Linked DNA regions of Oreochromis niloticus. The protein of the gene in region 3 interacts with the protein of the main gene of each other region in a pairwise test. Links are inferred from orthologs where the notes say so. Each region holds a gene or a part of one and is shown on either strand. Other genes may lie near its edges. The genes, in order: ttc19, trim55b and tcap.

Region 1 (6,993 bases), on a different chromosome or scaffold from region 3:
TCTGAGAACAGGTGGAGACTGCCTCCGCCCTGTTGAGTAACCTACGTGCCTATATAACCTGCAATAAGAAGAGTACTGTGTGACTCTCATTAGAGACTTCACCCCATGTACATGTGATTGATTATATTGTCTCACTGTGTCTCTGTTTTACTTTGGCAGCCTTCTATTTGGGAGATTTCCCCCGACACTGTGTTTTGCCAGAAACGCCAGATTCTCAGATTAAAGCTCACAAAACTATTTCAACAACCACCAAACAGTAAATGAGAGCAGGCACACGGATTCCACACAAAGACGTAAACACAGACCTGATGCATCAGAATCAGCTTTGTCTTTCTCGGCTTTCTCACCCCACGGCCCGAACACGGACACGCTGTCGGAACTTAGCAATTCTGATGCGTCGGGTCGGCGCTGTGTTTCCGTCTTTTTGCGCTGATTCTGAGCTGCAGGTTTTGTCTCTCCAACCAAAATTCGCCGAGCCAGCAGCAAAAGAAGCAGCAAACTACGCTTCACATTTGATCAATGTCGTCATGAATTCCCTCTGACTTTTGCTGTTTTGCTTCCACCACGATAAAAATCACACTTCATGCACAGCTCCCTCTCTCTCTCTCTCTCTCCCTCTCTCTCTCTCTGTACATCAAGATCAGTTTCCCGTCTCAAATCTCTGTTTTCTGCATTATTCATTGGCTTATTACCCACCAGTCTACCGTTGTTTACAGCGCTGTCGGCCGCTGTCTTTTTCTTTTCTTTTTCTTTGTTCACTTATATGACCTCGGACAAGAAAGCCTAATTTCTGCTGTTCAATACTGAAGAAATTTAAACTTTTTAAAATTATGCAAAATTGCAGAATATTTTTAAGGTTATCTGCTATAAAACGCCAGACCAGGAAAATCTCCTTCATGTTTTTCTGTGTTTTATTCTCAGTTACTTTGACACAAAGGCATCTGCTGTGATGTTCACAATTCTGATGAAGTCTCACATGTATCAGTGCTGATAAATGATCAGAAATATAATATTTCTGACTGTCTGAGGCTAAATTGAATCGAATCAGGACTTTGAGAACCAGAATCGAATGGATTATAGAAATCAGTGATGATACCCAGCCCTAGTGAGCAGCCTAGGCCTGACAGAGTGGATGTAGCTGTGGGTAATAAGAAAAGATGAAAAGAACTATTGACAACTTTTGTGTTAAGTTAAGGACTGATCCGTCTGAAATTCACAGCCAGCTCTGACACGGTGCCATCAATCTCTGAATGCTGAAAAAACAGCAGTGTATCCAGAAAACACATTATATGCTGCAATAAATGCACTGCCCAAGTGTCCCCTCTCCCCACTGCCTTTCAGCAGCAGGCAGCAGCAAACAGGTCGTCAGAGGAGCCGAGATGATGATTAAGTTTAACATTTTCTACAGTATTGCCAAAGAGTGCCAACGCACTTTAACTACAAGATTGTTAGTTAATAATTTAGAAATGAATATTGTCTGTATGGACAGCAATTTCCCCCCCAAAAAAGTGCACATGTAAAACTGCGGTGTTAACTGAGGCGGTTGAAAAATTTGAGTGCGCCTAACTTCTGTGCTTTAAAAAAAACGTTAGGCACACCGGTGCAACCGTGGCAAAAAGTTAGTCTAGAGCCCTGTGTCACACACCTGTCCCCGGACTCACACCTGACTCACACCTGTCCCCTGGCTCACACAGACTCAGCCTTTGTTCATAAAGTGCTTTACAAAGCCCAACATCACGGCTAACAGCTGGTTTTTACCAAAACAGCCACTTCCTGCTGCAGACAGTAAAGTGGACGCTTTATCCTGGTTTATAACATGAACTCATCGCTGCAGCACTACAGTCAGATGACCACAACCAACCAATCACATGAAGTCACACTCCACGCTGACAGCAGATGGTGCTGTCAAGTAACTTTGTTACTTAAACCCAGCGTCACAGACAGAGTTCCACCTGTGTGAGAGCACGGTCAGTGTTTCATGTCCTCTTTAAGCACCACTGGTCAGGACACACTATTCTTTAATATACAGCATCACCACACACACACACACACACACACACACACACACACACAGTAGCACTGCTGTGTGTGTGTGTGGTACCTTGGCTTTCTTTAGCAGCAGGATCATCTCGTCCTCCTTCCTCTGAGCTTCATCACGTTTGTCTTCTTCACTGCTGCCAAACAGAGAGAAGGCTGCACACACACACAGAGGTGATGATGTAAAATCAGCAGATTTTTGACTGGAGTTTGGTTCAGTGACTCAGCAGCCGTGTTAACACGCTCCTGATCCTAAGCTTTTACTTTGAAAGGTGTGCTGGAGAGCCCTGACTGCAGCTCAGTGTGAGGTCACAGAGGTCACAGGAACCTGCAGGTTATGAAAGCTGATGAAGAACAATGTTTGTAACCAACCGTACCGAGCGCTGCCCACAGCACCCCTCCTCCTCCTCCGCTCACGGTTACCCAGCATGCCGAGCAGCGTGAGCCCTCCACAGGATGTGATGTCACAGCGGTGTTCTGACATCTGACAGTGTTAATGCTCAGACTGCAGAAGCAAAAGAGAGTAAAAACTTCAAACTTTTAGTTCACATACACATGATATGGTTGCCACGGTTACTGTCATATTACCACGTGGTTACACCTGGTTGACAAGTTCTGGTCATGTGTTTGTGTGTGTGTGTGTGTGTGTGTGTGTGTGTGTGTGGCCTCCTCTCTGTGTGGAACAGAGCAGGTGCAGATGTTATTCCAGCTGTTCTGCTGCTGATGTTTGTTGTTGTCAGAAATTCAAACCAGCAACCTTCCTCTGCCCATCAGCACTGAACGCTGCCTGCAGTGATGGGGACCCGAGAAGCTGTAAAAACTGCGGATTTTTGAATGGACTCTGGTGTGAGGACGCGGGAGGCTCAAATCGTGTGAAATGTGACCGGAGCCTGGTGCGTAGGTTTCAGTCGCTCACCTGTGTGCAGCTCGCGGGTGATGCAGGCTCCGCCCGAACCCCCCGAGCCTGCTCAGAGTCTGCCTGAGGACAGCACGGAGAACACCGGAGGCCGCCATCTTTACTGTTTACATAACGAGCGGAAGACACGACGCCAGACACTGCGCCTTCAAAATAAAAGCAAAGAATCTCTCCAGTGTGGAATAACTGAAAAAATCGATCAGCAAATATCTCCACAAATATCTCAATTTCTTATTGAGATGTTATTAATCAAATACAGAGAATTTTACTCCATTCGTCATTGATTCTGATTTATTTTGAAAGGATAATTTCTAACACAGCCAAGTTATGATCGGTCGTGTCTTTATTGTAACCTTTCACTCACTGACCACTACAGGAAGTACACGTGCTCATCGATCAGAAATCCGACCAGCCCATCACAGGACAGCAGCTTCAGAGTCTGAAAGCAGGGGTCCATCCTGCAGTGTGATGGGGGCGGGGCACAGCTTACTTGAGTGTTGCTGCAAACCTCGTCCGTGCCTTTATGACGTCAGCGTACCATCTTTTGACGTCACAAAGCTCCGATGAGCTCAGACTGGTTTATTAAACATGACGCTGAGTTCATTGCACGCAGCCACAGATCTCAGTCCCGCAGAGCCCTGTGATGATGTCATGATAATGTCAAATGAACCAAAATCTGAATCCTGAAGAACGAAAACAACTCCGAAGCCAATCGGGCTCCAGCCTCCAGGCTGCTAGAGTGGCCTTTAATACACTCTCAGCCACTTTATTACGAGTTTTACAAACAGAGTTTTCAAAGTAAAAGAACAAATTCGACACACGTTTATCAAAGCTGAGACCGGAAAACCTTCAGAATCGAGCGTCTGGGTTCAAACGGCGAATCTGTGTGTGGGGTTCAAAGCTCAACACTGGGGCTGTGTCCGAATTCAGGGGAAGGATGCTTAAAATGCCATATTTGGATGCAATGACGTCACAGCGACACGACGAGGACTGTCCGAATTCAAAGAGCACTCAAAATGTGGCGACAAATGCGTCCTACTTTTCTGCGAATTTGAGGCGTAGCTGTGTCCGAATTCAGAGGAAGGATGCTTCGATGCCATATTTGGAGGCAATGACGTCACGGCGACGCGACGAAGGGTGTCCGAATTCAAAGAGTACTCAACATGTGCCTCCTACTTTGCCCTGAATTCTAAGGATGGTCCGATGTATCCTTCGTGTCCTACTATATCCCAGGAGTCATTGCGGGTCATAGAGGAGATTTGTTTCTGATAACGATGGTGGTCGCAGCAGGAGAGGAAAACACTTTCAAATGTAAGTATATGAAAATCTGCTTGTACAAAAGTTAAATTGTTATATCGGTCGTGTTGTTAAGCTTTGGGCATCTGCATAGACATGTTTCTTTTCTTTAAAATAACCGTAAACCAGCTTGTATCGGGGGTCCCGCGATTTTTCATGTATTGCCGCCTACATACAGCTAATTTTGATTTTTTTCGAATTGGTGATATGTTGTGGGGAACAAAGACCAAACGGCTTAATTTATTAAAACAAGGAGAAAACGATCGCCTCTTCACTGGGGTGAAGAATTGGGCCGCTACGGCGTGGATGTACAAGAATAAATCAATGTACACATCATATTCATATGAGTGCGGTCCTATTAACCCTCATGCTGTACAGCAGCGGTCCCCGACCTTTTTGCGCCACAGACCGGTTTATGTCAGACACGGAGCCTTTAAGGTATCGCGGATAAATACAACCACATAAAATGATCCGACCAAGACAAAAACTGTGGTATTTTGTAAATATAATAATAAACGTGAATGTACTGTGTAATTGTGTAACTTTATTAGCAGCGTCCTCCTGAAAATGCGCCAATATTGACAGTAACATCCTCCTCTCTGCCGCTTAATGCTCTCTGGTCGCTATGGCAACGTGTAAATATTTCTTTCAAAATAAGACACAACTACAACAAGGGAAAGACTCAGGGAAACCGAGTTAACGATAAAACCCCTGAAAACCATAAATTTCACACCGGAGCCTTAACTCTGTGGCCCGGTACCAAACGACTCACGGACCGCTGCTGTACAGAACCTGTGATGTCCAGACGGTGTTCCTCTGGTGTTCTGCTGTGAAAACCTTTGGGCTTAGGGATTAACATAGTTGCCATGGTTTCCTTTCTTCTCTTATTTGTTGTGTGTGATCAGGACAATTCTGGAGAGGATGGGCCTGCAGGGGAAAGTCACCCCCTTGCAGGCCAGAAGACATGAGATAACTTTAAAGAATACAAAGTACGTATGTGTGTTATCAAGAAGATAATTCTCAAGAACACAAGTTAATAAATGTGCAATTACTAAGAGTTGTTGTGGTGTTTTTATTTGCCTGCTGTCATTTTTGATTTCCTCTGCCTTTAGGATTGCAAGTATCCAGGCTCAGGAGAGGGGGTCAGTGGGAAGCCCACTGCTGCTACTTGGCCCTGGTTTGCCCTCATGGATGAGGTGATAGGACAGATGCCTTCCATTAGGCCTCCTGTCCTAATGTCCTCTCTCCCTGAGGACAGTCCAGGGCCAAGCACAGCAGTGGGTGACCAAAACGACAGCGATGACAAAGCGGCTCAGCCACCTACGACAGGGAGAAAGAGGAAAAGAGATGATGAGCTGCTAGACCTCATCAGAGAGGACATGAGGCAGCAAAGAGAGGCTGAGGAGAGGAGAGCAGGGAGAGGACGGACAGACTGTTTTCACTTCTAGAAAGATTAGTTCCCAAATGAGTTATGTATTGAGAAATTTATTTATTTGAATATATTTGTTACATTGTTATATGTGTTGCATTAGTTTAAAGGTTTTATGTTATTAATAAATTGATTCAAACAGACAGTAATTGTCACTGAACTCAATCTGATTTACAGGCATTTGTAACACGTATGAACATAACGCTAACTTTGAACAATATTACTTGGATATTTATTTGATAGCAATAAAGTAAATAACAATAACAATTAAACAAGAATATTTCAAATACACAGTATGTAAAGATGAAAAAACAACATTTACAGTTGTTCACACAGGATTAACCTGAGTGACCTGTTCCTGGACCGTTTCTTTAACAACTGTAATAGATTACAGGAAGTCTCTGGCAGTGTTGCTGAATCTGCCCGAGCAAGATCAGACGTGGATGAGCTGCTGCAACTGAGACCTGCGGTTTGTCTTTTCTGGTGGGCGAGTGGAGAATCACACAGGGTGGTCTGCAAAGAGCTTTAGGATGCTTCCTCCCACTGTCTACTGCATCCTCCATCCACAGGGTTTGCAGGGCTCACTCGTGGCTGCCACACCACTAAGATGTTTTCAGAAATATGCAAGCAGGAGATGGTGGATGCTATATTATTAGTATAATACTTGTAACTCTGTAGCAGACAACAGTTTGATAAAGTGCTATGTAAAAAAATAAACAAAAGATTAGATTCTATACGTTTCAAAGATATTTAGTTTATATATTTTATATGATACAGTACATGTGTGAGAATGACCGATGTTGTGGCAAAAAATGATCGTCTGCCAAAAACTGATTTCCGGTTTTTGCCCTAAACTGATTACTCGTATTTAACCTGCTATGAATAACTTGTTGGTCTATAATACGTGAAACATGTGAAATGTGTCCCTCATTAGTGATATCACGTCACTCTGAGCCACCAGCAACATTCCTGTAACAGGTAGAAGCTGCAATCAGTTTTTGGCAGTGACTTTTATATATCCTTTATTTATCCAGTTAAAAAAAAATCTTATTGGCATTAGAAATGTATTTTTTAAGAGTAATCTGGCCAAGAGGACAGCAGACAGCGCAACAAATATATCAATTGTACCTACATTATAACCAGAGTTATAAAGATACTTGAACAACAGGTAATTATTGTAGTAAACCATGTTCACCGAAGTCTATTTACCAACATACATAAAGATATTACACATATTACACTCGGAAACATTGGAAATCAGTTTTGGCAGGCGAACACTTTTTTGGCACAACACCGGCAATAATTAAATTATCCG
Region 2 (7,915 bases), on a different chromosome or scaffold from region 3:
GAAGAAACCTCCAGCAGTACCAGGCTCAGGGAGTCGCAGCTATCTGCCGCGACCAGTTGGGTGTGAGCAGAAGAAGACGGGACAAAAGACACACTGTGGAAGAGAGCCAGAGAGTAATAATAAGTAGTTAAATGAGGAGTGGTGTGTGTGTGAAGAAGAAACACTAAGCATAACTAAGGGAGGATTCAGGATCACCCGGTCCAGCTCCATCAATCTATGGATGACAAGATTGGGATGTTTCCGCTCTAAAACATTGTAGGTTGACATGTTTTGTTACACAACTGAGCCAAGTTGTGCAATTTTGAGCCATATTATACAACAGCATGAGAGGTGCATTTTAAATGAGATCTTAATACAGATGTTAGTGGCCTGTATAGTGGACGGACTCTAATATTTAAAGCCAAAGATAATGTGGCTACTGGAAAAGTGCTGATTGAGCCTTTTTTCAGAGTCACTCTTTGAGTTTTGGGGGTTGTTTTGAGTATTTTTAAGTAGCTTAGCATGGCTGGAAAGTGACTCAGTGAGTTTGTGACTCAGTGAGTTTGATCACAAACGACGTGATCTCAACATGATGAGATCACGTCTGAGTTGATTCAAGCCTGACCTTTACTTATATTGTCATGGATCCCAGCCTGTAATTTCTTTCATTAATCCCACTAACAAACAGAAAATATAAAGAAATATTAAATATTTTCATAGCTTAAATGATCAGTATTCTTGATGACTGCTTCTAAAACACATTCTGCCCTAAAACACTGCTACTTATTTAAATAAAAGCATGTCAGTGATGAAGGTAGGGTCAAAAATAACTTCTAATTATATACACAGCAATGGAGTACTAGAAAACGTATCTATTTATTACGATTAAAACAAGTAAGATGTATCTACAAAGTGTGACACTATTTCATTATGCCCAATTAGATTTTCATGATATTGTTCATTTAAAACAAACAGGATAAGGTACTGTACTGTTCTTGATCTGCTAAAGGTCTGCAGACCAGAAGCTACTAAAGTCCGACAGGTACAGATGAACCTGGAAGCATTTTAGAGGATAATCTGAAATGCATTCTTTTAAAAAAAAATACCAAAAAGTAGAGGCACACCTTCTAACTGCTAAGCTTAAAGGTCACTGCATGTTTAAGGTTCCTGCTCATTTATTCATATGATAGGGGATTGCTTACTTTTACAATGAAGTACCTCTTATATTATCCAAACTCTTGGCTGTAACAGTACACAGGACCGCATGTAGTTTTCTTTTATAACTTATCATCACTGTGCATTTGGAGACGCCAGAGAAAAGATCTATTAGCTGGGATAACTAAGAGGACTCACTAAAAATCTAATCAGGGTCACCACCGAGCACTGGATCTTCTGTTTCTTGGAGATAATAAATGTGAATGCTGCAGCTAAATCAACTATAAATATTTGGTGTACAACTGCTGTATCTCTGTGTATGTAACTCCAGACAAAACCCCAGTATGACCTCAGCAGTACTGTTCATAGCATCACAGTATCGTAAACAGGCCTGCGTTATCATTTCGTTCTTTTGCAACATTAACACAGTGACGGCAAATCCTCTAAACTGCCCAGAGTATCACTAGTTCAGACCCGAACTATCCAGAAGTTGCATAAATGGATAAAGATCTGACCTTGCTTTTTTTTAACTACATCCTTGGCATTTAAAAATAATGTGAAGCCTAGCTGATAGTGTCTGTGTAAATTTAAGGTGGAATACCTTTTAAGTCTTGCTAAATACTGTTCTACATTAATATTTCTTCATCCCAAGCGAATCCACGGTGAATTACTGCTACCTTTAAAATTACTATTCATTCTAGGGTATGATCATACTTTTTCTGACCCAAAGACTCTCAGCTCAGTGGATCATTTAGGACAGATATGGAGATGAAGAAATGGACATTATCTGGAATTGCTCGCAGAGAGTTTTTAAATCACAGCCACTGACTGCTTGCCATCTGCGTGAATACAATATGACTTCCACCTAACTGAAATATTCATACAAGTGAACAGATGGCACCCTTTGCTCTGCTCCCTTTTCTGGTCCCCTATACACTTTCATCTTGCTTATGAGTTTGTAGACATCTTATGTGTGCGGTTATGTGCGAGCGCAGGTGTATTTCATGGCCTTGGCAGTGCATGCAGACCTTTTTTACGATTCACGCAAAGCACCGCTTACCAACGCCGAGCGAAAGAGGGGAACAGGAGTTTCACACTGTGCTCTTTAAATTGGCAGCTTTTAGCCTCAAAGGCAGCACTGTCTGGCATTCATGTTGGCCTTTCATCTCCAAGTAATCTCCACACTGCTCTTAATTTGTCAATCTTTGTTGGATTTTTACTAACAGGCGCTGCAATATTATGAGTCAGATAGTAATGGATGAAAAATTATGAATTCACTTCAATCACAAAGACATAACCCAGAACATCTCCTTAATTGATCTCATTTGAATTCACTTTTATCTAAATGGTGAGCATCTGAGCAGCCTCTGCTTGTCGCTAATGAATATGTAATCATGCTAGTTCAGCCTTTTTAGAGATTACTGATTAAAACTGAATAAAGTGGTGTGCCCACAGCATCACAAAATGACTAAAAACTTCATTTGTAGTACATCACAGAGAAAAAACACATCAACAGAAAGGAGAACTGGGTGAGACACACATAAAAAGCTAAATGACAAAATTAGTAAGAGCGCTGTTTTACATTTACATAGACTTGCAAATCACAAGAGATGGGAACTTTACTATTTGAATGTGTATATTTCTCATCCTTTTTTCCCCATTTTATTTATTTATTTATTTTTTACCTTTTTCTCATTTCTTAAAGTTGATTCCTAACTTGCAAACCCCGGAGGGGGACACTAAATGAAACAAAGAGACAAATTAGAGAGTGTGAGAGAGACATTCATTCATTTTCAGTAATGACATCTGTCTAAAATGTTTAAATATGACTCACTGATTCTGCATGAAAAGCACTGTGTGCACATCCATGTGGCTTTATATAAAAGGAAAAGAGGTGCGAGGAAGGCAGATGTCATATTGTATGAGTCAGATGAAAAGAAAAAAGAAAAAGATGAGGTATGCTTAAATGGGTCAGAAGCTTCCACTATGAGGATCCTGCTACGTTCGCTTTGACATTGAGTTTCTAATTAAAGAGTATGTAAATTTTTTTGTATAGGTCAAATGTTTTGAAAAAGTGCATCTTTAATTGCTTCGTTTGCATGGGACATTTAGACGTGACAAATATTTGGAAATAAAGTGAGGAACTCATACAGATTCATGAAGATGAGCACTCCATTAGCAGAGGACAGGGGTTTTAATTTGTAATTGAAATACCGCTAATGAGAATCAGTGGACGGAGGAATAACAATCGTGCAACAGCACAGAAATAAACAAAGGCGCTTTATTAGTGTGTGACGCTTGCCACAGTCCTCCACACAACTGTTAATTACGGTCTCTGAGTCATCCATCTGAATGTGTTCGCAGCACCTTTATAAGTCATTTCACAGTCAAACAAAGTGATAAAGTTTGTTTTCATCACGAGTGGAGAGATAATCAAACACTAAACAATCACTTTTAAATTCCCTTTTTGAACAGTGCTTGCAGGTGTGATCATTTTTTATTTAACATGCACAGCAGATTTGCAGGATATGCTGTGTATTTATGCTGACTAGACCATCACTGCAGGCAGTGCAGTGCCAAACATTTTCAAGCTCACTTCTATTTTTTATACACCCCAAAACTCTACTTGATTTTGTGGGAAAGTTTAAGAAAATCATCATCTGTTTTTATGGATTTGCATTTATTTGTAGAAAAATACATTAACTGCCAATACTAGCCATTTTGTTTCAACATCTGAAATATGTATTTTCATTAAAAGAAATGATTAGAGAAGCTTCATAGAACAGCAATTCTTAGCAAATTTGTAAAAGCGCTCAAAATTGAATTTAGGGGAGGGAAAAAAAAAAAAATTTCTCTCCTTCGAGCCGGATTCGAACCAGCGACCTAAGGATGCCTGGGAAGCCACTACAGTCCTCCGCTCTACCAACTGAGCTATCGAAGGGAGCTGACGACTACCTCCACCCCCTGTGTATTTATGAGATCGGCAGATATGGCGGACGCCCTCTTCGGTTAACATGTTTTCTGGAAATTCGCATTCGCCACTGTTTTCCACTTGAGCTAAATAGTTGTGTGTGAGAGTTTCCCCACATATTTGAAGTAACTTGGTTGCCCTCAAAGGAACTTTAACATTGCGAGCCTTTCAATAACTTAGCAGCTATTAAACCCTGTTATTATTCACATTTGTTAGAGCTAACCTAGACAGCTTAATAATGCTACCTTACCGCACTGTATTTCGGCATGATATGTGAAATATATCAAACACTACACCGTCACATTGAACCAATTACGTATCTCACGAACAATAAATACACACACAACGAACAACTTCCGTACCGGGGAATTAGCTCAAATGGTAGAGCGCTCGCTTAGCATGCGAGAGGTAGCGGGATCGATGCCCGCATTCTCCAATAACATTTTCATTTTTCCTTCAATGTAAGGCCTCGAACACGCTAACAAACACCAAAATATTTTAGCTGAATTGTTCTTTTTAAAATAGTAGCAGTTATCACCTACTTTTAAGGATGCGGTGAATACACCTAATGTTACGGTTGTCGTCCTTATGCTGTTCTCTAAGTGCAAATACCCATGTGCAAAAAATGCTTTACACATGCCATAGTTTGTTTAATGCTAGGTAAAATCACGATCACTCCTTTAACTAGGAGCTTAGCCAGCGAACCTAGGATTGTAACAAACCTCTCCTGTGCGTGGTTATCTTCCCTCTTACGTAATGGTCTCCTCCCAACTTTGACTGGAAGTCACTTTTGATAGCTTCCGGCTGCTGTCTATTGTCTAAGTTAACATTAATGCAAAGCTGGCACTTGATCGGCAACATGGTAAAAAGGTACTGAGTACTAGGTGTTTTCAGTAGAGACTGTCAGATGCTATCAATAATTTTAGATATAAAAGTCACAATCAAAGTTAGCCTATGATTGCATCACTTGCCAAATGACTTGCCCCTATCCTCTCAAACACATAGCCACATGGCACCCCGTGTAGAAGAGGCTGGGGATGGGCTGCTTTTCAGCACTGCCCTACTTAGTTTCATATATGGACAAGGCAAAAATGGCAACCTTAGACGTGACAGCAGTAGCTGCTAAAAACAGAACTGACACAGAGGAGATAGGAGTCTACACCCGCTAGGACAAACATAACAGGCCTACTACTCAGCCTGAAGCTGGGCCTATGATAGATTGCTTTTAGAAAGGACTTCATACTAAACTTTTCAGACTTTTTAAGTTGTTTAGTTGCGTGTGAAATCGTTGACACCATGGACAACTTGGAGAAACAGCTGATTTGTCCAATATGCTTGGAAATGTTTACAAAGCCTGTGGTCATCCTACCCTGCCAGCACAACCTGTGCAGAAAATGTGCCAATGATGTTTTCCAGGTAAGCTATTGAATGGCTCAAATTGGTACTTATTTATAAAGTTGGTCTGAATTTTCACATATCAAAGACCCAAATAGTGACATATAAATTTAACACCTATAGGCTCTGTTTACAAACATGTGGATTGAATGTTAATGATGGTGGTTTGAAGTTTGTGTTATGGACTGTTAATCCCCTGGATTAATATTTCATAACTGCTGAGTTAAACAATGTAATTAATTTTACTTCTGCTATCCATCAAAACCCAGTCATGCAAAATTCAGAGCTTCCCTTGTTGTCGTTTACAGGCTTCAAACCCATACCTTCCAACAAGAAGCGGCTCGTTGACCTCTGGTGGACGTTTCCGATGCCCGTCCTGCAGACACGAGGTGATTCTGGACAGGCATGGTGTTTACGGCCTGCAGAGGAACCTGTTGGTTGAGAATATCATTGACATGTTCAAACAAGAATCCAGCAGGTGAGACAGATCAGACATTTGTCAAAATAACAGAAAATGAAAAGAATTCTTCATGTCTGACAGGAGGATGTTTTTATTAGTGAAACTCGCCTTGTAGGGCAGTAAAGTATAGTAGCAGGAAGTGAAACACTAACTCTGGCTTCTGAGTCAGAGATCTGCAGTGGGTGAGAGGACGTTTGTACTTGCAGTAGTCATCCACACAGATTTTTTATCCAGCAGATGACTGAAAGGCTTGTATGACATGATATCCACAACACTTTTTGCTGTTGTGACATTATTTCATTACCATTATCCTAAGTAGAGTTTATAGGATGACAGCCTCTCATCCGAGATGCTTCTTCAGTTCTGAGACCAAAACGTAGAGAGTGCCAGGTATTTAAACCTTAATGGATTTCCCCTTAAGAGGTGATCGTTGCCCGACTAGTAGTCCTGTCCATCATCACAAGAGCCAAACTGGGAAGAAAGGAGTGGGTCATTACCACCTGAGGCTTCAGATGAAATCACTGCGAGATCTTGCGTGAGACCACATTATGTGACCCGTTGAGTTCACCTGGCGCAACGTGTGAGTGGGTGTTGAGCCGCCTGGGAAACGGATCTTGAGACTGCATTGTAGGTGGTTGACAGTTGGTGTTGTTAATGATCCGTCATCGTCTTTTAAACTGTCTCCTCGGTCTAAAATGCAAACATTCACATCCTGCAAAGATTGACATTTATCCTTTCTTAATGACTTAAAAACAAGCAAATGTAAGGTTTTGGAACGACCTACTCAAAGTCAGGACCTTAAACAGGTTGTTCGTGCTCAAAAGCCCCTTTAAATGTGTTTTAATTAAAGCAATTCTGCAAAGAAGAGCAGGCCAAAATTCCTCCACGGTGATGTGAAAGACTCATTGCCAGATATCGCCAAAAGCTTTATTGCAGTTCTTCCTGCCAAGGGTTGCACAACTAGTCATTAGGTTTAGGGGACAATTACTTTTTCACACAGGGCAGGTGCATTTGGATAGCTTTTTCACTGAAATGAAATCATTATTTAAAAACTTCATTTTTTATTATCTTTGTCTGATGGTGTGACAAATATGTATAAACTTAAGAAATAAGGAAAGGGAGAAAACTTTTAAGGTATAAAAACATGAATCATGTATGCTTGCTCCCACACTACTCAGCAATGATGATGACCTATTGATTACAGTGCTGGCAGTGCATGTGAATGGCAGGGCACACCTGATGGGTCATCGATAAGCTGTTTAGATGCCGAGATGTGTAACAGTGACATTATCAAACTGACACTGCATGTCACATCAGTATGCAAATGTGCAGCATCACGGGATACTACCGCTATTTCCATCGCACCTCAACAGCAGCAAACCAGCACCAGAGAAAAAGGAAGAAACGCCCATGTGTGATATTCACGAGGACGAAAAGATCAACATTTACTGCGTGACCCACGGTGTGCCCACGTGCTCCATGTGCAAGGTCTTTGGAGCCCACAAAGACTGCGAGGTGGCTCCTCTCAGCAGCATCTACCAGACGAAGAAGGTGAGGCCTGAGATGCTTACAAAGGCTACGGATACTGTCAGCCATGGTGATGTGTTTTTTACAGTTTCATCATGAAGTATATCATAGTGTAACCATAGATTTGCCCCAGATTTGAGTCTGTAGTCATGCTGCCATGTCCTTGCCCCCTAGACGGAGCTGAGTGACGGGATTGCCATGGTGGTTGGTAACAACGACAGGATGCAGGGCATCATTAGTCAGCTAGAGGAAGCCTGTCGTGCCATAGAGGTCAGTGTCCGACTGCTGCAGTGCCTGGCCGCTCACTCACGCAGCAAGCCTCACTCCGTGCACACACTAATGTACCTGCACAGACGACCAAACTGATGTAATGTGTCCTTGTCACGGCCACTCTTTCTGCTTTTATCCATCTGTGAGATTTAGACAGA
Region 3 (6,252 bases):
TCTATTTCAGCTGTGCACACTAAGAGCGGATGAGTGCATTCTGTGATTGAGAACAAACACATAAAAGATAAATGAGGGACGTAAAGTGAGGTCTGTTCTAAAGGGTGGAGGGCACAGTGAAAATGCATTCTTATCTAAATTATAGTTGACAGATCCCCAGCTGTTTATTGCATCTTTGTCTCATAACGGTGCCTCCCAAAATGCATGTTTTCATAATGCAAGTGATCCTTTGTTCTGTTACCGGAACAAGTCATGGTTTGGCCTCTAACCTCTGGTTGCTGCATGCATATTTATTTGCACATTTATATTTATTTTCTCCTTTTCTTCCACCCACAACCGACTGACCTCAGGAACCAATACATTTTCATCCATTCTCTTATATTGTTCGGTTCACACAGTGGTAAACCTGCAGGTCATTGTAGAGCTATTAATGTCCCTCCCGAATCCTTGGAAAAACAATCTAGTCTATATTAGGCTTTAATCATTTGCTGTTTTGTATTCTTTCATGTTGTACCACAAATAAAATGTAATCAAATTAAGTTTATGTTGCACTTCAGGCATCAACCATAAAGACAGAGAGGTGATGAGTAGTTCACCTTTTATTAGTAAAAATAATAGATGTCTAACAAAATATTACAGCATTGTTACACACAATTCAGATTCATTTACATGACCACAGGTATTCTAAGCTATAACAGTATCGGTTCCTCTATCAGACATAAATATGAGCTGCCACTCGACTAAAAAGGCAGATCAGTTAATGCACATTAAAAAAAAAGTTTATTGGTTTTCCTAAGTTATTGTGATTAGACGTGCCAACACTCACACAGAGAGGGACACACACATATCTACAGTTGCAGCATTTGATCTTGCCAGTGCATTCTGTACCCTTCACACAGATGAAAGACTGGCAGGCAGTCCTGGAGGCTGACCAGCTCTAAGGCATGTTTCCTGATCCCTCAGCCCTCCATTTCCCCTCTGATTCTTCCCTTCTCTTCCCATCCTTTGTCATATTTTTCCATCTATTTATTTATTCTGAACACTTTCATTTACACCATGAAGACTGTACTTTCCGATACTCAAAAAAAGGGCTAAAGAAATGGTTAAGGTGCACCAGTGCGTACAAATGTTAGGTCACACTGAACGATTAACAGATATGTCGAGGCCAGCTGGCCAGCACATGCACAGACTGGCCTTGGCACAGCTAAGAGAACACCTTGCTTCCCTGTCCGAATGCAAACATCTTCTCATAACCACTTCTAATACCACTCACTATAAAATGCCAACAATGACAAGATATGACATTTAGAGTGCTAAACTTCTACAGTATTAGATGTCACTAGAGGTAAATCTATATACATCTTGTCATAATGTTTCCAGACACACTCTGCTTATTGAATATTCTTTCCCATCTGTCATCCTTCTCGTCTCTCCCTAGCATCCCCTCTTTTTCTTTTGTCCTTTTGTTTTTCACCCTCTCTGGGCCTCCTGAGACATGGAGCGCCCCAGGGCTTTGGGTGCTTTGGCAAACTCCATGAGGGTCGGCTTGACTGGAGGGAGATCTCTGGTGATTTCGTCCACCGTCCTCTTGCTGGGACACACTCCATCTGGAGTGGGAAATGGCTGCAGGTCCTCCAATGTGTGTGGCGCGCCACGTCCGAGCCTGACGCCCAGCTCTGCGGGGGTAAAGATGGGCAAGGGAAGGGTGTTTCTCTTTGGAAGCAACTGGTGCTCCCTGACCCCTCTTTCCACTGTGCCCACCCTAAAGACACCAGAGGGACACTTCTGTGTCAGTGAACGTGCCTGCCACTGCCGGGACAGAGTCTCCCTACGAGAAGTGTCGTTCATGTTCATGGTCTGCCTGTGGGCATCAAAGAAATGTTGAAGTTAGAAACTATTGAGGGCCTTATTGTAATTTACCTTCCCAATTAACATTTAACTGCTTTTCACTATGAGAATAATTTTCAAGTCAATCTTCATCCATATTTTATGAGAGTAAGAAAAGTTTGAAATTACAGCCTAGTGAATGTTTTCCTCTCATTTAAAAGCAACTTATCATATTATAGGGTGTTACCTATAATAAGACATGATCTCATTGGTCCTACCTGTCTTGAGGTTGAGTCTTGAGACTAACGCTGTGCCAGTCAGCAGTGTAGCTCTCCCTCTGAGCCTTGTTCTCTTCCCTCACACTGCAGGTCAGCTCAGCTCCCACCAGCACACCATTGCTCTTCTCCAGCACGGTACAGATTGGCATCTTCTCAGGTGCAGATAGATTTATCGCCTTGAGTGGGTCTTGTTGATCAGTCCTAAGGTAACAGGAAACAGTGATGCTTCAGTCGGCTTTATTTCTACTCTTCCACTATCTCTGTCCTTCTTAGTGCTGTCTATGTCCAGGCTTAGGTCTGTCCACAGCTTTTATAGATGCTCTGTTTCTATTTTGGATTCATGTTGTCACTCTACAATCAGTGTGCTTGGACATCTGACACCAAGTCCTCCGTGCCTCATTCCCTGACAGCTGGAAGGTTCCCTGCAGTGGGGTTCAGGGGTAATACGGCTGAAAATCCCCTGATTCTCAAATTGAATGCTGGGCCTGCTCTTGTAATCACTCAGCCCAACTCTTTCCATTTCACTTGTGATCACAGAGGGGGACATATTATAGAAACTATGGATGGAATAATGTAAACATGTACACAGACAGACACAAATGGTTTAGACTTAGCAGAGGAATCTTAATAAGATTATAGCCATGATATACACAAAGCAGCAAAGGAGAGCCAACCGAAGCCAACCTTGTAGACCCAGAAACTACAGTAACTCAAATGTCAATTTGAGTTAGGCTTCAAGAGTTGAATGTTACAAGAGCAAACTTCAAACCATTTGAATTTTATAACCTTTTAAAGTTCATACGATTGGGGCGTGGCGGCTTTAACTGTCATGTGACATAGTTGTATCAATTAGCAATCTGTCAGGCTTCACTCCATCCAAGAAGATTGTACTTTTTTTGTGAAATTCACAATATTTGTTTTTAACTTTAACTTTTAAATTATTGCAGGACATAATTTATGATGTTGCTGTGTCTGACACCTCATGACTTCAAATCAAGTGGTGTACAAACGTCTTGAGCTACCCTTATATCTTTATATTTTTCTTTCAGTTACAAGAATTGTAATTTTTTAAAGCAGTCTTGAGCAACAGTTTTTCCCACTAATTTTCAGTGCAGTTCTTTCTTTTTTCTTTCTTTAAACAGTTACTTAAAAAGCCATCACGTGACCCAACGGTTTTAGGTAATTATAGGCCAATCTCCAACCTTCCTTTCATCTAAAAAAATCTTGAAAAAGTAGATGTAAAACAGCTTACTGATAATCTGCAGAGGGATGGTTTATTTGAAGAGTTTCAGTCATGTTTCAGAACTCATTACAGGACAGAAAAAGCTTTAGCGAAGGTTATAAATGATCATCTTATAGCCTCTGACAGTGGACTCATCTCTGTGCTCTGTGATGGTTTGGGGGATTTTGTCAGAGTAGATGGATGCAACCCTCAGATTTTGATTCACAATGCAGTACTATCTGGTGTGTTAAGTGTTTGACTGCTTCATTTTTCAGCATGACATTGATCTCAAACACACTGCCAATGGAGAAAAAGAATATATATATGGAAAAACACATGGGAGCACTATTAGTCATGGATTGAAACCCCTATTTCTAAAGATGACTGAAGAATTTCTGAAGAAATGACAAAAGCTTGCCTACCATCATTCAGGTTAAAGAATAAAGGTGGCCATACCAAGCTAACTTCTGTAGTCTAATTTGATGATTGGCAGCACACGCCATCTGTTGGATCAAAATTCATGAGTGATTTGCTTGCTTATAATGTAAGATAAGCAAGCAAATACCTGACTAAATATTTATAGCAACATGTGAAAATTATCTAAAGTTTGTGTTAACCACAATGTTTTAGACATGAAGCCAAAAAACATCAAAATGAGAACCAGGAAAAAGAAATGCAAAATTTTTTCCATGCTTTAGGACAACATTTGTCAAGCTAGCTGACAAATTAGCATTTTACACACTTGCCTAAATATTGTCACCTCTGGCTCCAAAAAACAAAAATAACACAGAAGCTATAGAGGCTGCAAAATGTGAGTTCACAAACCACATTATGTCACTGAGGCAACATCCATCTTTTATATTCAGTCAGTTGTGAGAAAAATGGTGAAAAACCCATACAAGTTTATGTAGCAGTGTCATTTTTTTCATGCTGTTTTTTTATTCATAATACAGCTTTGAATAAGTTTATACCCCCGCCAGGCTTCATGACAACATCATACCCCCTCATTAGATGCCATTACACTGCACTGTCTCACAGTAGCAGTGAGAACTCAGTCTCCAGTGATTCATTACCTCAGTGAAAGAGCGCCATGCAGGCCATAATCAACTCGGGTTACAGACTGTGAAACACACACACGCACACACGCTCACACTCACCTCTGACAGTTATCTGCTGGTCTGATGTTACTACCGATTCCCGTTTCTGACTCACTAATCCACATCAGGTACTGATATCATCATATACCAGATATCATATACCTCACACACAGCACAAAATATAATCATCCCAAGCAAAAGAAGCCTGATGTGTTAATCAGTTTTTTATTTTCTTTTAAGGTTTTTGCTGTACTGTGCCAGATTGTCTGAAAAACAAATATGATCATAACTTTGTGATTCTTTGCCTATATTTCTTGACTTCGGGTAAATTAATGCTATTCCTCACCACTGACTCTTCATGTCGTGCATATTTAAGGCAACAGTTAAAGGCTAACATCCATTTGCCTGCAAATTCCAACAATATTTCACTTTTCCTTCAACAATCTCCCAGCAGGCTGCCAGTACATATGTAAAATGTCGCTCAGTGTCATACTGAGAAAAGAAAACGATAAGCATCTCCTGGGTCATTGATTCAGTCATGTTATGACACCATGACAACCATGAATGCCATTTCAGAAACCCAGTAAGTCACCATGCAAGCTCCTTCTGTGTTGAGGTCATGTCTTATTAGAAGCTACTTTATGCGAAGCAGTCAGTTGTAATACACAGAGTGACAATTTAAATTTGTGCTGTCTATTTATTTGTACATCCACAAGCCAAAATCCAAGAGGCCATCAAATGGCCCTTTCCTAGCTGTTTTCGGGTGAGTCATGCTATACAAATGGAGCCAGGGGTGTGTGGATAGTTTGTAAAGGTGAGCAGTGATGAGGTTAGGTCTGTCACAGTGATCACCCCCCACGTCCTCGTCTGTCCACCCGCACTAGGACTGGCTCGGCCAGGAAGAACTTTGTGTTGCATAAGAGCACCGCCACAGCTGCTGCAAAGTGACATTTAAATGAGCTGTCACCGCGAAAGAGATAGGGAGTAGGTGGGAAAACAGAAAGAGAAGGGCAATTGCAGGATAAAGCCAAGGCTTGTCAGGAGGTGGTAAATATGGCAAAATATTGTGAGAGGGGAACTTTAAGTCTGATTTATTTGTAACACGAAAATGACTTTGGGAGGAGAGAGGAACAGGTCAACCTGACACAGAGTACTTGATAATAAGAAGGGATCTGGCTTTGTATTAATTCCTGCACACAGTATCAACTTTAGTGCTTCATAACACTCAGTTGTTACCAGTTATTTGTGTATCTGTGCGCCATTGTACCATCGGGCTGGTGCCGTGTTCAAACATGTGCCCTCGACAGTGTATTGCTCTCTCTTACATAACAACAACAAACAGCTGACTACCAAAACACCATTATCACCATCCATCTTCCAACCCAGTCTGGTCTCACTGGGACGGTCAGACGCTGGACATGCCACTTCGGAACAGGACAGTAGTGCAAGCCAGCCATGGATGCACAGCTGACGGGCCACGTGAGAGTATACAGACAGATGAAGAAGATTCTTATGTTCCACTTCAAAAGACTGCTGCTCCCATGCCACAGTTTCCATTGTTCGGTACACTTAACTGAACGTAAATTTAAATATCATTGAAAATTAGAGTCTATTTCACTCGTTTGAATTTATGTAACTTTATAAATAGCAAGCAACTTGACATGAGAAAGATGCATGTGGCATTACATAAAACAGGCTTTAGGCTGGAACTTTATTTCAAGGTAATTTCACACCAAAACAAACTATCGCATACTTGTATAAATCTTTCACATTTTCAGCAAATTGCTGAACAGGAAAAACATCCTTCCATCTCAGTCACGCAAACAAC

What was found.
Region 1: the proteins of tcap (region 3) and ttc19 interact in binary tests that used the Homo sapiens proteins (3 or more experiments, as listed by UniProt). The link is inferred for Oreochromis niloticus from reciprocal best matches to the Homo sapiens genes TCAP and TTC19.
Region 2: the proteins of tcap (region 3) and trim55b interact in a two-hybrid assay, tested with the Homo sapiens proteins (2 studies listed by BioGRID and IntAct). The link is inferred for Oreochromis niloticus from reciprocal best matches to the Homo sapiens genes TCAP and TRIM55.

What each region holds. Positions count from the first base shown.
Region 1 is NC_031982.2:34,780,683-34,787,675, reverse strand, and holds the start of ttc19 (tetratricopeptide repeat protein 19, mitochondrial), read right to left. Parts: upstream 3,108-6,993; 5' UTR 3,052-3,107; coding exon 2,954-3,051; intron 2,543-2,953; coding exon 2,415-2,542; intron 2,194-2,414; coding exon 2,102-2,193; intron 1-2,101. UniProt on the Homo sapiens protein: Required for the preservation of the structural and functional integrity of mitochondrial respiratory complex III by allowing the physiological turnover of the Rieske protein UQCRFS1.
Region 2 is NC_031974.2:19,332,635-19,340,549, forward strand, and holds the start of trim55b (tripartite motif-containing protein 55b), read left to right. Parts: upstream 1-4,880; 5' UTR 4,881-5,401; coding exon 5,402-5,521; intron 5,522-5,808; coding exon 5,809-5,978; intron 5,979-7,333; coding exon 7,334-7,511; intron 7,512-7,661; coding exon 7,662-7,757; intron 7,758-7,915. UniProt on the Homo sapiens protein: E3 ubiquitin ligase that plays an important role in regulating cardiac development and contractility, muscle growth, metabolism, and fiber-type differentiation.
Region 3 is NC_031969.2:27,060,433-27,066,684, reverse strand, and holds tcap (telethonin), read right to left. Parts: upstream 2,398-6,252; 5' UTR 2,255-2,397; coding exon 2,106-2,254; intron 1,862-2,105; coding exon 1,471-1,861; 3' UTR 585-1,470; downstream 1-584. UniProt on the Homo sapiens protein: Muscle assembly regulating factor. Mediates the antiparallel assembly of titin (TTN) molecules at the sarcomeric Z-disk.